3 linked regions of the Xenopus tropicalis genome follow. The protein of the gene in region 3 purifies or fractionates together with the protein of the main gene of each other region. This does not show direct contact. Links are inferred from orthologs where the notes say so. Each region holds a gene or a part of one and is shown on either strand. Other genes may lie near its edges.

Evidence for each region. Proteins that work in one complex are often made in the same cells at the same time.
Region 1: the proteins of exosc5 (region 3) and dis3l purify together in Homo sapiens (affinity purification with mass spectrometry; 5 studies listed by BioGRID and IntAct, with this or other methods). This does not show direct contact. The link is inferred for Xenopus tropicalis from reciprocal best matches to the Homo sapiens genes EXOSC5 and DIS3L.
Region 2: the proteins of exosc5 (region 3) and zfc3h1 purify together in Homo sapiens (affinity purification with mass spectrometry; 3 studies listed by BioGRID and IntAct, with this or other methods). This does not show direct contact. The link is inferred for Xenopus tropicalis from reciprocal best matches to the Homo sapiens genes EXOSC5 and ZFC3H1.

The regions. Positions count from the first base shown.
Region 1 is NC_030679.2:117,114,316-117,117,972, reverse strand, and holds part of dis3l (DIS3-like exonuclease 1), read right to left. Parts: intron 1,839-3,657; coding exon 1,710-1,838; intron 1,198-1,709; coding exon 1,062-1,197; intron 520-1,061; coding exon 343-519; intron 256-342; coding exon 177-255; intron 1-176. UniProt on the Homo sapiens protein: Catalytic component of the RNA exosome complex which has 3'->5' exoribonuclease activity and participates in a multitude of cellular RNA processing and degradation events.
Region 2 is NC_030679.2:59,906,486-59,910,142, forward strand, and holds part of zfc3h1 (zinc finger C3H1 domain-containing protein), read right to left. Parts: intron 2,657-3,657; coding exon 2,458-2,656; intron 2,232-2,457; coding exon 2,137-2,231; intron 1,615-2,136; coding exon 1,510-1,614; intron 1,296-1,509; coding exon 1,191-1,295; intron 1,096-1,190; coding exon 930-1,095; intron 1-929. UniProt on the Homo sapiens protein: Subunit of the trimeric poly(A) tail exosome targeting (PAXT) complex, a complex that directs a subset of long and polyadenylated poly(A) RNAs for exosomal degradation. The RNA exosome is fundamental for the degradation of RNA in eukaryotic nuclei.
Region 3 is NC_030684.2:79,502,356-79,506,112, reverse strand, and holds the start of exosc5 (exosome complex component RRP46), read left to right. Parts: upstream 1-1,105; 5' UTR 1,106-1,135; coding exon 1,136-1,223; intron 1,224-3,757. Other genes in the region: bckdha (2-oxoisovalerate dehydrogenase subunit alpha, mitochondrial), read right to left, coding at 838-909. UniProt on the Homo sapiens protein: Non-catalytic component of the RNA exosome complex which has 3'->5' exoribonuclease activity and participates in a multitude of cellular RNA processing and degradation events.

The DNA.
Region 1 (3,657 bases), on a different chromosome or scaffold from region 3:
AAAAATATATATATATGTCAGTTTTACATAGTCTGAATGATCTCATATACAAATGGTTTCCCTGGCTGTCTCAAAATTTTTTGAGTCTCATAGGAGAAATGCCTTTCACAAAGCAAACTGTAACAGAACATTACTGAGTTAACAGAGCTATAAGCCTTAAAAGGTGCCTGTAATACCTGTTTCTTTTCCTCCTAAGCCCTGAAGTCGTACAAAACCTTCCAACTGAGCTCTGTGCTTGTTTACACTGAGAACACCCTGGAGAAGGCAGAAAGTGGTAGATATGAGTTCCATTGCAGCCTATATGTTCCCACATGGCCTGTAGTATTATTGGAGAACACCCACCTGTTGGTATCTGCCAGATTTAATTCCAGCCTCGAGAATTTCCAGTGGCAGGTGCTCCGGGTATTCTTTGCCGTTACCCTCCCGGCTCTCTAGCTCGCGCTCTCGATGGGTTTCTTTTAGAGATTTATACAGCTCCAGGGCTCCTTTTAAATTGGGCCAGAAAGTCTCCAGGTAAATCTGTATAAAATGCATTAAAGCACTTACCCTGCAGCACTTTATCATGCTAACTCTCCCGTATTCCTACAAATGTTCCTTTTTTTTTTTTTCATATCCATAAATTGATGAATCAAAATCATATTGTTAAATATTGCTGTCCATATAAGTGGCCCGCATATTTGATATCAAATATTTAAATAATAAATGTCATACAAAGAAATCTATAGAGCTTTTTTTTTAAAAAAAACAAAACAAAACCTTTTGGAGGACTGTACTTGGCTTCCAGGCCTTCAGTTAGACAGCACTGTTGTATATAATATTGTACTATAAAATGCATTATTTATCCAAGCGCAATTCTTTAGCTTGGGATGATTTTTCTATTCCTTGTGACATATACCCGACTATTATTATTTTATATAAAATGTTTTTATATATTATTTAAAGAGAGACAAATTTGCGGGGAAAGCTGTTAGAATTTTTATTTTGATAGCAAACATGTTCTCAGTTTGTCCCTTAGCACTTCTTCCTGCCTTTTGGATTAATACAAAATCCCTCACACTGACCTGGAATGAGACCACGTACACCTCTTGGGTCTCGGTGTTGTACTGCCTTATGACAGACTTATCTTCTGTGACCATCACAACAGGGATTTTCTTCTGACAGTGTTGATAGTACCATACACAAGAATTGTAGATGCACCTAAGTAATAGCATTAAAGAGGTTGTTCACCTTTAAATTAACTTTTAGTATGATGTAGATAGTGATATTCTGAGACAGTTTGTAACTGGTCTTCATCTTTTATTTTTTATGATTTTTCAGTTATTTAGTCTTTTGATCAGCAGCTCTCCAGTTAAGTACTTCAGTGGCTATCTGGTTACTAGGGTCTTATTTTCCCTAGCAACTAGACAGTGGTTTGAATAAGAGATTGAAATAAGCATAGAAGATAATCTGAAATAGAATAATAAGTTATAAAAGGTTATAATAACAATACAATTGTAGCCTCACAGAGCAATCGTTTTTGGCTGCTAGAGTTAGTGACCCCCATTTGGGCTGGAGGGGAAGAGGAAGGCAAATAATTAAAAAACTACAAAGAATAAATCATGAAGACCAATTGCAAGGACATTCAAACATCAACCATCCCATTAAGAATGGTGCAGTTAGGTCAGGCTTTGATTCTATAAGGTGGCAGCGTTACAGACAAACTGAAGTACCTTGTTTGCCAGGCCAAAGCAGATTCCCCCATTTCTCTAGGAAGATAGGCATGGTTCTGGAACTCATTGGAAAACAAAATGCAGTCATGACGAGTATCTCTGAGCAGAGAACACAACCTCTTGTATTGCCTGAAACACAGCACAATAAACCTAGCTTAGCCAAAAACAATAGGCCAGATAAAATTAAGATCTTAGAAAGAAAAAACAAACAAAACTGGAAGGAAAATAACCAACCACTACTTACATGGCCATTCATTCTGCAGCTTAATAATCACTTAATGGTTAATGTTTCCTAGAACATTATTTCTTAAGCAGGATGCTCATTACATGATAGTCACATCCTAACAAAATCATTACACAAATCACATTTGTTGGATAGATAAAGTGGACATTTATCATGCCTTTAGATAAAATCCAGTCTGAAGTATAACAACTTCTCCACACCTTACAGCAGGGGTCTCAAACTCGCGGCCCGCGGGCCATTTGCGGCCCTCGGTACAGTATTTTGTGGCCCGCACCAACGCCTTCTCAAAAGCAATGAATGGATTGCGATTCAAGGGATAATGCAAGGCACGGTGGGTGGGAGCTGCTGATTGCGGAAATGACGTTATTCCATCATAACAGTTATTATGGGAAGACATTCTGTGTGCACAATTAGCTGCTAAGGAGCTAATTGTGCACACAGAACGTCTTCCCATAATAACTGTTATGATGGCATAACGTCATTTCCACAATCGGCAGCTCCCGCCGTGCCTTGCATTATCCCTTGAAAGCCAATTTTTTGTGAAATCCCTTATGCGGCCCAGCCTCATCCTGACTTTGCCTCCTGCGGCCCCCAGGTAAATTGAGTTTGAGCCCCCTGCCTTACAGGCAGCATGCAGGAATTGTATAACCCACAATGCATTGCAGGATGTGTGGGGTTTTGAGGATGCAGGCTGAGGACAGTTGACTATTGTTGCAATTTTATTTGAGTCCCCAAGTAGTTAGCCAGATCATCAGGGGAACAGCAGGGCGAGGCTTAGGTAACTTTTCCAATCCATATTATTATTTTAAAAGTTATGAAAAGGCTGCATTCATTGATGTATATTGCTTAAGTTGCTTAAAATTATTTTTTCTTTTCAAAAAGCTTAAGTTGTGTTTGGGTGGAGTTCCCCTTTAAGAATAAAAATTATTAGGAAAACAGCAGGGTCATTTTTCTGAAAGACACAATTGCCACAGAGACACTAGTTGTCCTGACATTAGAATTTGCAGATGCAGCAAATTTTACAGCCAGAAGTGTGTATTGTGTTTGTGGCCCAAAACTGTCCATGTGTATAGCCTATTCAGTCGCTTCTGCTTAGCTCCCTTGCAGCACATAATGAAAACAGTTTGGCAGGAGCATTCCCAGCATTTTTGTGCCAATTATCTTAGTCCAGTGCTGCAACCCCCAGATGTAAGGCCACATCAAAATGCAACCAGTTTCTATAAATAAGGGGGCCCAGCCTTCTACAAACATGCCGTTATTTATTGTGCCATTGCACATAAGCAATGTTTCACACGCAATGGTACAATATACAGCAATCACAGCTTATCTGTAACATGTCCCTTTTAGGTTTATAGAGCCTGAGCAGCACATGACGATGTTTCTAATGCCAGCTAGATATTGCATGCCTTGTGGCCAACTAGCCAGACCACATTAATTGGCAAAGACAATCGCTGGCTACAGATGGCTTTACATGTGAGGTTTTTAGTAATGATAGAAAGCCAGTTCTTAGACAGGGACAATCCACATGAGTTTCCTAGTGTCCAGGTCTAGATGTGCCACATGTCTAGAGATGCCAGAGATATCTGCCAGGCAATGATGATTAGTTGCACTTTCCAGCATTTACAAGGAACATGTCTGTGCCTACAGTCCATGACTATCTTTACTGAAGTACTGAAACTTTAACCCCCCTAGACCATTTATTAT
Region 2 (3,657 bases), on a different chromosome or scaffold from region 3:
CAGGACCTGATGTTTTCTGGATAAGGGGTCTCTCCGTAATATGGATCTCAATATCTTAAGTCTACTAAAAGATCATTTAAACCAATAGGATGGTTTTACCTCCAATAAGGCTAAACTACATCTTAGCTGGAATGAAGTAAAATGTACTGTTTTATTACAGAAAAGGGGAATGGGTTTTAAAATTCTGACAAAGTTAATTAAATGGAGTCTATGGGATATAGCTTCCTGTAATTTGGAAATAATTTGGAGATTACAGGTTTCCAGATAACAGATCTCATACCTGTAATACAGGTATTGGACCCTTTATCCGGAAACCCATTATCCAGAAAGTTCCAAATTACGGAAAGGCCATCTCCCATAGACTCCATTATAAGCAAATTATTCTAATTTTTATAAATGATTTCCTTTTTCTCTGTAATAATAAAACAGTAACTTGTACTTGATCCCAACTAAGATATAATTAATCCTTATTGGAGCCCAAACAATCCTATTGGATTTAATTACTTTTTAAATTATTTTTTTATTAGACTTATGGTAGGAGATCCAAATTACGGAAAGACCCCTTATCCGGAACACCCCAGGTCCCGAGCAAATTTATACCAATGACACATTTACATCTGAAGTGCAACAGCAGATTAAACCTGAGATGCCACAGGACCCATGCTCAGATACAATGACTGCCAACGGAAAAGGCAAAAACAGCTTATTTAAAAAAAAAAAAAAAAAAATGGATTTTCTACATACACATCGGAAATAAAAACTAAGAAATGTGCATATTATTCCCATTGCACGTTGCTTTATCAAGGTCCTACCAAAGTTGTTAGGGAAGCCAGAAAATACAGGCTGAGTGTAAGAATTCTGTTGTTTCTTTCAAAAAGTAACTGGGCTTTAAGCAAAGTCAATGTAGTACATTTCTTTACACCTCTTACCGAATTATGGAACTCATAGCTGGTCCAGTAATCTGATGTGCTAAAAGGAATGAGATGCCTTGTAGGAACAGTCATCAGACATCTGTTAACTAAATCCGAAAAATGTTTAGCTTCTTGAACCTTATTTTTGGCTTCCATAATTTTTCTGTTAGTAAAAATAAGATAACTGAAAAGAAAAGATATCCATTAAATCTCATGGCATATTTGCACACAGACACTTGCCTTTTATTATAAAAATTGGTAGCTATATGAAATACTTACTCCATCCAAAGATTCTGGAGCACCTCCTGTTGCATTACAGCTCCCAGTGCTGCCTCATAAGCCTCTATAGTCTCTGCAGTGCTCGAGTGAACAGACTGCCATAAACTGTATATAAGAAGTGTTCAATAGTAAATGTCTACTAGATAAAACCTGTGCTTTTGTTTAAACTTGTTATTGTATATGGCAGTTTTGGCTGAATGTCTGGATGCCATCCACTGCTAAAACTGTAGGAATGTTAAATGTAATTTTGCCCAGCAATTGAAACAATGCTCAGTTAACAAGCATACATTCTTAACATTATAAATGAAAAACCACTCACCAAAATACAAGCCAGATGTATGGAATTTGCAGTGCTGAACCATTAAAAGATGCCTTTACTACTGGAGCTTTGAAATTTAGAGGAAGTGAAAAATTTAGGAGGTACCTGAGGAGAGAAACACAAAAGTAAGAAAAGTGAATGTTCAGAAATTTTAGGGCAGTCTTTGGGTTGTTTTTAAAATCTGGGCTTTAGGAGACTGCCCTTTTTGTCCCTTCTTTTATTTGCAGTAGATATATCTGTATTTCTAATGGCCTACAGCAGTCTGAATGATAACTGGACAGCATGCAATAATTCTGTATGAAATTACCATTATTATTTTTTTTTTTAACCAACAGATGTCTTTTAACTTTATCCAAATAGGCCACCGTATAGATGGTGCAATAGGTTACAAACTGCAACCTTCCACTGCCACTAATGCTTTACCTCATTAGTGCTCTAATGGCAAAATAACTGTAGATTCACATTTAGGTCATATTAAATACCGGGTAACTTATACATCCAAGATATACATTTCATTAGAAAGAGAAATTTGGAGGTAGTTGCATTTCAAGAAATTATTTGGGGAGGTCTGTAATATGTCCACTCTGAGCCACAAGTGAACTGTGTATAAGAGAATATATAATGTACCTCAGGAGGTATGTAGGGTTATGTTCCTCATCAAAGGTATCAAAGAATGACAAAACAAAATCTTTCATGATGGAGGGCATATGTTGTAGGTGATTCTGCAAAAGTAATACATATGCATTTAAAATATCAGTTGCAAAATGAATTATATATTTCAAACAATATGTTTAGCACTTCAGCCACAATGCTGCTGTTATGTGCTTGATTCTAACCAGGGCATTAACTGCTATTACTATTCAGCACTCTATAAAGAGCTACATATGTCAGCAAATAGAATATAGTAATCATTACCAAATATTTTAACTTTATATCTGACGTACTTACATGTGAAACTAGGAACTTGCAGGTATAGTAGAAAACCTTAGGATTCTGTTTGTTATTTTTGAATGCAGTGATCCAAACATCCATAGCTTTCTCAACTTGTGCCATCTTCAAGTACACAGTGCATAAAGCTTCCAATATGTCAGTGTTACCCATAGAAGACTGCAGAAGCTGCATACATAGCTCAACTGCTTCATCATGCCTTAACAGAGGAAACACAAGTCAGTTTATTACATTTATTTTTTAACTGCCTTTACTTGGCGGGCTCTAGCATATCACCAGGAGTATAGAACATGGATTTATAACATACAATTTCAAAAGCATTGGAAAAGTGAACATCATAAGGATGATCATTATATAATAAAACAGACAATAAAACATAGCACACTTGTGACTCCAGCACACAAAAGGCTGCTTGTTTCTATAGGAAAATCAACCAGTGGGGAGGAGATGTCTGTATCTGAGCAAAAAGGATAAATTGAAAAGCTCCCCCTGTATAATTTCGTTTGATCTTTACTTTGGGTCATCCCTACCACTTTTAGAAATAACCTTTTACTATTTATTATTTACCACTGCACAAGCCCTGGCAGAAGAAAAAAAAAAAAAAAAAAAAAAGTAACAGATGATACATCTTTGGTGGGGACCTTTAACAACTTAGCATGTTTTACGATACAATCTGCTTCTCTCGGGACATTGTTGCTTTGCATTCCCCAGATTATTACACCCTCTAGTAGGTACGGTTCTTCACCAAGTACTCTGTTTGGCAGGGAAAATAGCACTAGCCCTTGCAGGTCACTTTGGTAAACAATCAATCTCAACATAAGCTGAGGAAAAGAGAGAAGCCCTATTTTCCAGTAAAAGTTAGAAGCAATTATGTTGCATGTTACAAATGCAAACAAGTTTAAAGCTTAAGCAGAAGAGGGGATTATGCGATACTTACAATTAAATCCTTTTCTCATTATTAGCCTGTGGGGCACAAGAACTGTGGGGTGTAGTAGGCACCACCACAGTCCCTGTGTCTCACAGATGTCCGGAAAAGCAAAGGCAATTTTGCGATACCGTTAAATCCTTTAATCTTCCTTGGTCTGTGGGAACCAGGGGCCGTGGGGTATAACATCCACCACCATGGTCACTGTGCCCCACAGAACGAAAATAAATTAGTTCTGCCAGTGCAGATCCTTTGCATATGCAGGGTAAACCGGT
Region 3 (3,757 bases):
CGTTAAATCACATAACTAAAAGCACAATTTAGGCTACAAGTATCTGCAAATAATTATGTTTTCTAAAAACATTTTACACTGCACCATGAAAAAAAAGTTAGAACACCTTGAAAATATATATTCTTTCCCGTATGCAAAAACACAGAGAATCCAATACAGTGTAAGCAATAACTGTGGTACAGTACAGAACTAGGAATATTACTAGAATGTTGCTTCTATAATACTCCAACCTATAATATTCCAGTCCCAGAACTGCTGATCAAAAGCACAGGCAATTTTATACAAATACTTATATATAGATATGTACAGGGCTGTGTATACAAGTAGCACTATACAAATATATACCTGGAAATATGTGTGTGCATTTTGGGAGTATGTATACAAACATATTCTTCCTATTTATATAGCTGAAACAATGTTGTCACCAGCTGGTTTATGGACAGACAATCAACCAACCTGTTATTTAAGGCTAAAGCATATAAATGTATATACTATATAAGCTGTAAATTCAAATGTAAATTTGACTCCTTACAAATCTAGTCAGCAATATCACATATTTTTACATAATTCTGAACTGTAACTATAACCCACGTTTATTATAGCATATAACTTTTAAAACACATCTCCCAATTCAAACAGTTCTTGTAGTTCCCATGTATATACGTCAGACAGGCATACTAGTATTTTAGATGCGATGTACCTTATGGTACAAGATGTGTATACTTCTCAGTATACAAGACCAGGGTCTCGCATTTAGAAATAAAACATTTAAACTCCCCTTCCATCTGATTATCGTCTGTTTCACTCACACCAACGCGACCCCTGTACTCCTCTCACCTGTCTCCCACCGGCGCCTCTCCACCCTCCTGCCACAGTCCGGACCCTTAGAAGTGCCCTCAGCGCCGCCATCTTGCTTCGGAATGCTATCCCACTGCCTACATTTCTCTTAGGACCCCTATTCAACAGCTTGTCAAAAATAACCTCTGAAGTGAGAAATTGCGAGAATTGCGTATTTCCTATTATTCCCTGGGAAAAAAGGCTTTGGCATTGTTGTGTATAATTATACAGGCAAGTGTGGCGGTTGCCAGACCCCAAGGACCCCGGAAGTGTTTGCACATGTGGAAAGAAGGTTCTGATGGAGGCTGTAGGTTCTGTATTGCGGGAATACGGGTGTGAGCAGAGTTTGCTGAGCCGTCCCGATGGATCCGCTACGTTTCTTCAGGGTTAGTTTTGGCGCGCCTATAATTCCTCAAATCTTATGTGGAATACGAGGATATCAAGGGATACATATTGAAGGGAAGCGTAAAATGTTTTGCGGCTAAATCATTGGATGGAAATTGAATTGTAAATCCAGTGGCCGTTATTCTCATTTAATGGAACAGCTCTTCCATGTTGTCATAATGCAGAGGACAGCAATGGGGAATGTATGTGTTGTATTTGTCTAAAGTAGGTGGTTGCTGAACTGCAAACTTGTAAATTAAGCAATTTTCCAATATAGGATAATAAAAAATGTTCATGATTTTAAAATTGATACAATTGTTACTGAGAAAAAAGTTTCAGCCTGTTTATTGCAACTCTCTCCTGGTTTCCCCAGCTACTCTTAAAGGAACAGTAACATCAAAAAATGAAAGTGTTTTAAAGTAATTAAAATATAATGTGCTGTTGCTCTGCAAAAAACTGGTGTTTTTGCTACAGAAAAGCTACAATATAAATAAGCTGCTGTGTAGCCACGGGGGCAGCCATTCAAGCTGGAAAAAAGGAGAAAAGGCACAGGTTACGTAGCCGATAACTAGTAGATAAGCCCCATATAATGGGGGTTTATCTGTTATCTGTTAAGTAACCTGTGCCTTTTCTCCTTTGAATGGCTGCCCCCATAGCTACACAGCAGCTAACTTATATAAACTATAGTAGTCTTTCTGAGGCAAACACACCAGTTGTAGCAATATAGGGCAACAGTACATTATATTGTAATTACTTTTATACACTTTCATTTTTTGGTGTTACTGTTCCTTTAACTACTCCAAATCTCACAATGCCTTGCTTGTTCTGCCATTATCAGCTGCAAAGTAAAATAAAAGAATAGTACAAGGCAAATTTGTAGGAACTGAGGTGGTGGTGAGGAGAGACATTTTTTATTTAATTATTTCTATAGTCTGGTAGCAAATAATAGCAAAGGCAGACAAACTGCTCTTGGAATTTTATTTAGAAATTACTTAAAAAAAAACATTTAACATGTTTAATTCCTGCATATTATAACACTGCTTAAAATTACAATTCATTTGTACAAATACATATATATTTATTTAGGAAAAGGTCCTTTAAAATATTGGACACCAAATTGAATTGGGGACAGACTGACCATACTCTTACTCTAGAGCTATAAACGGTCATGTACAGCACTGTGATTATGATACCTGTGTGTACGCATTTAAATAAACCAAAATATAGGGAATATACACCATATTAAAAAATATAAGGGTATTGGAAGTCTCCTTAGAGTGCCATGACCATATACAGGCACAGAACCAAAGGCCAAGTGGTTTAATACAGGTCATTGAACTCTGAGGTGGCTTCTAATATCCACATATTTTACAACAGAGGAGGTTTTAGTCAGTAAATTATACAAATTACATCACTGATCAATGTTGGTAAAGAAAATCTTGTGTATTATAGCTATAGGGGCTTGTAGTTTTGGGCTCCTAGGCTCTGCACCATATTCAATTTTAGAATAAAGATTAGAAATGAGTTTCAACAAAAAATGTGAGCTATCCTTACAAAGTAGCAATCCAGTACCATGTTTAGGTGGTTTATAGCATTTTGACCAGTTAATAATTTTTAATGCAGTATAATTTTTAATGCAGTTCTCCAGTCACACAAAAATAGATTAATTCGGAAAAAAGAAACTAAAGGGTGTAAGCACATTGACCTAGATATCAAGCAGGTATATCATGGTGGCTTAGAATTCACACCAAACTCTCTGCAACTCTGTTCTACCAAGCTGCATTGATCAAGACCTATCACTTTATCCACCTTGTGTACAGTTTTACTCACCACCTTTTTATACCTATCACCATTTGAAAACTCGAAAGAGGGACACAATTAACTGCCATGCTCCTCCCGCCATTTGAAAACTACAAAGAGGGACACAGTTAACTGCCATGGTATGACTGCACCCACATTTTACCACACCCAAAATACCATGATCATAAAATTAAAACTAAAACCAAAAAAAAAAATCCAGACATGCCAGTAAAATCACTGCATAAATAACCAGAGAAGCCTCCATTAACTAAAGACATGACCATAAGATCACTGCATAAAATGGGTAGATTGAATGCATTGCCTCACTTAAGTTGCACAAGCAGCAAATCACAAACTTGTTCTTTTCTAGTACCCCCATGGTGCTTGTCATTTTGCCTTTGCCTGAAAAGGCAATTTTTCCATTTCCACAGTGGAACTTACGGCCATCTGTGATTATGATTGGCTGTGTTTGAGCCCCTGCTGAGATTGCTTTAAAGAAGAAAGAAAGGTAAAAACTCATAATTCAGGTTCGTTTATATATCACACAGGCAGTAATCTGGCTACTGTAGTTTTATGTGACTAAAGCTGACATACATGCACCGATGCACCTAGTTTCATACGATATTCACTGTGTGTATGGTGGATCGACGAGGTGAACATCACAAAAGCTTCGGATATGTCGCCTCGTGGAACGGGCGGGACAGAAGACTTTTATACGAGCAAAATCTGTGTTTAG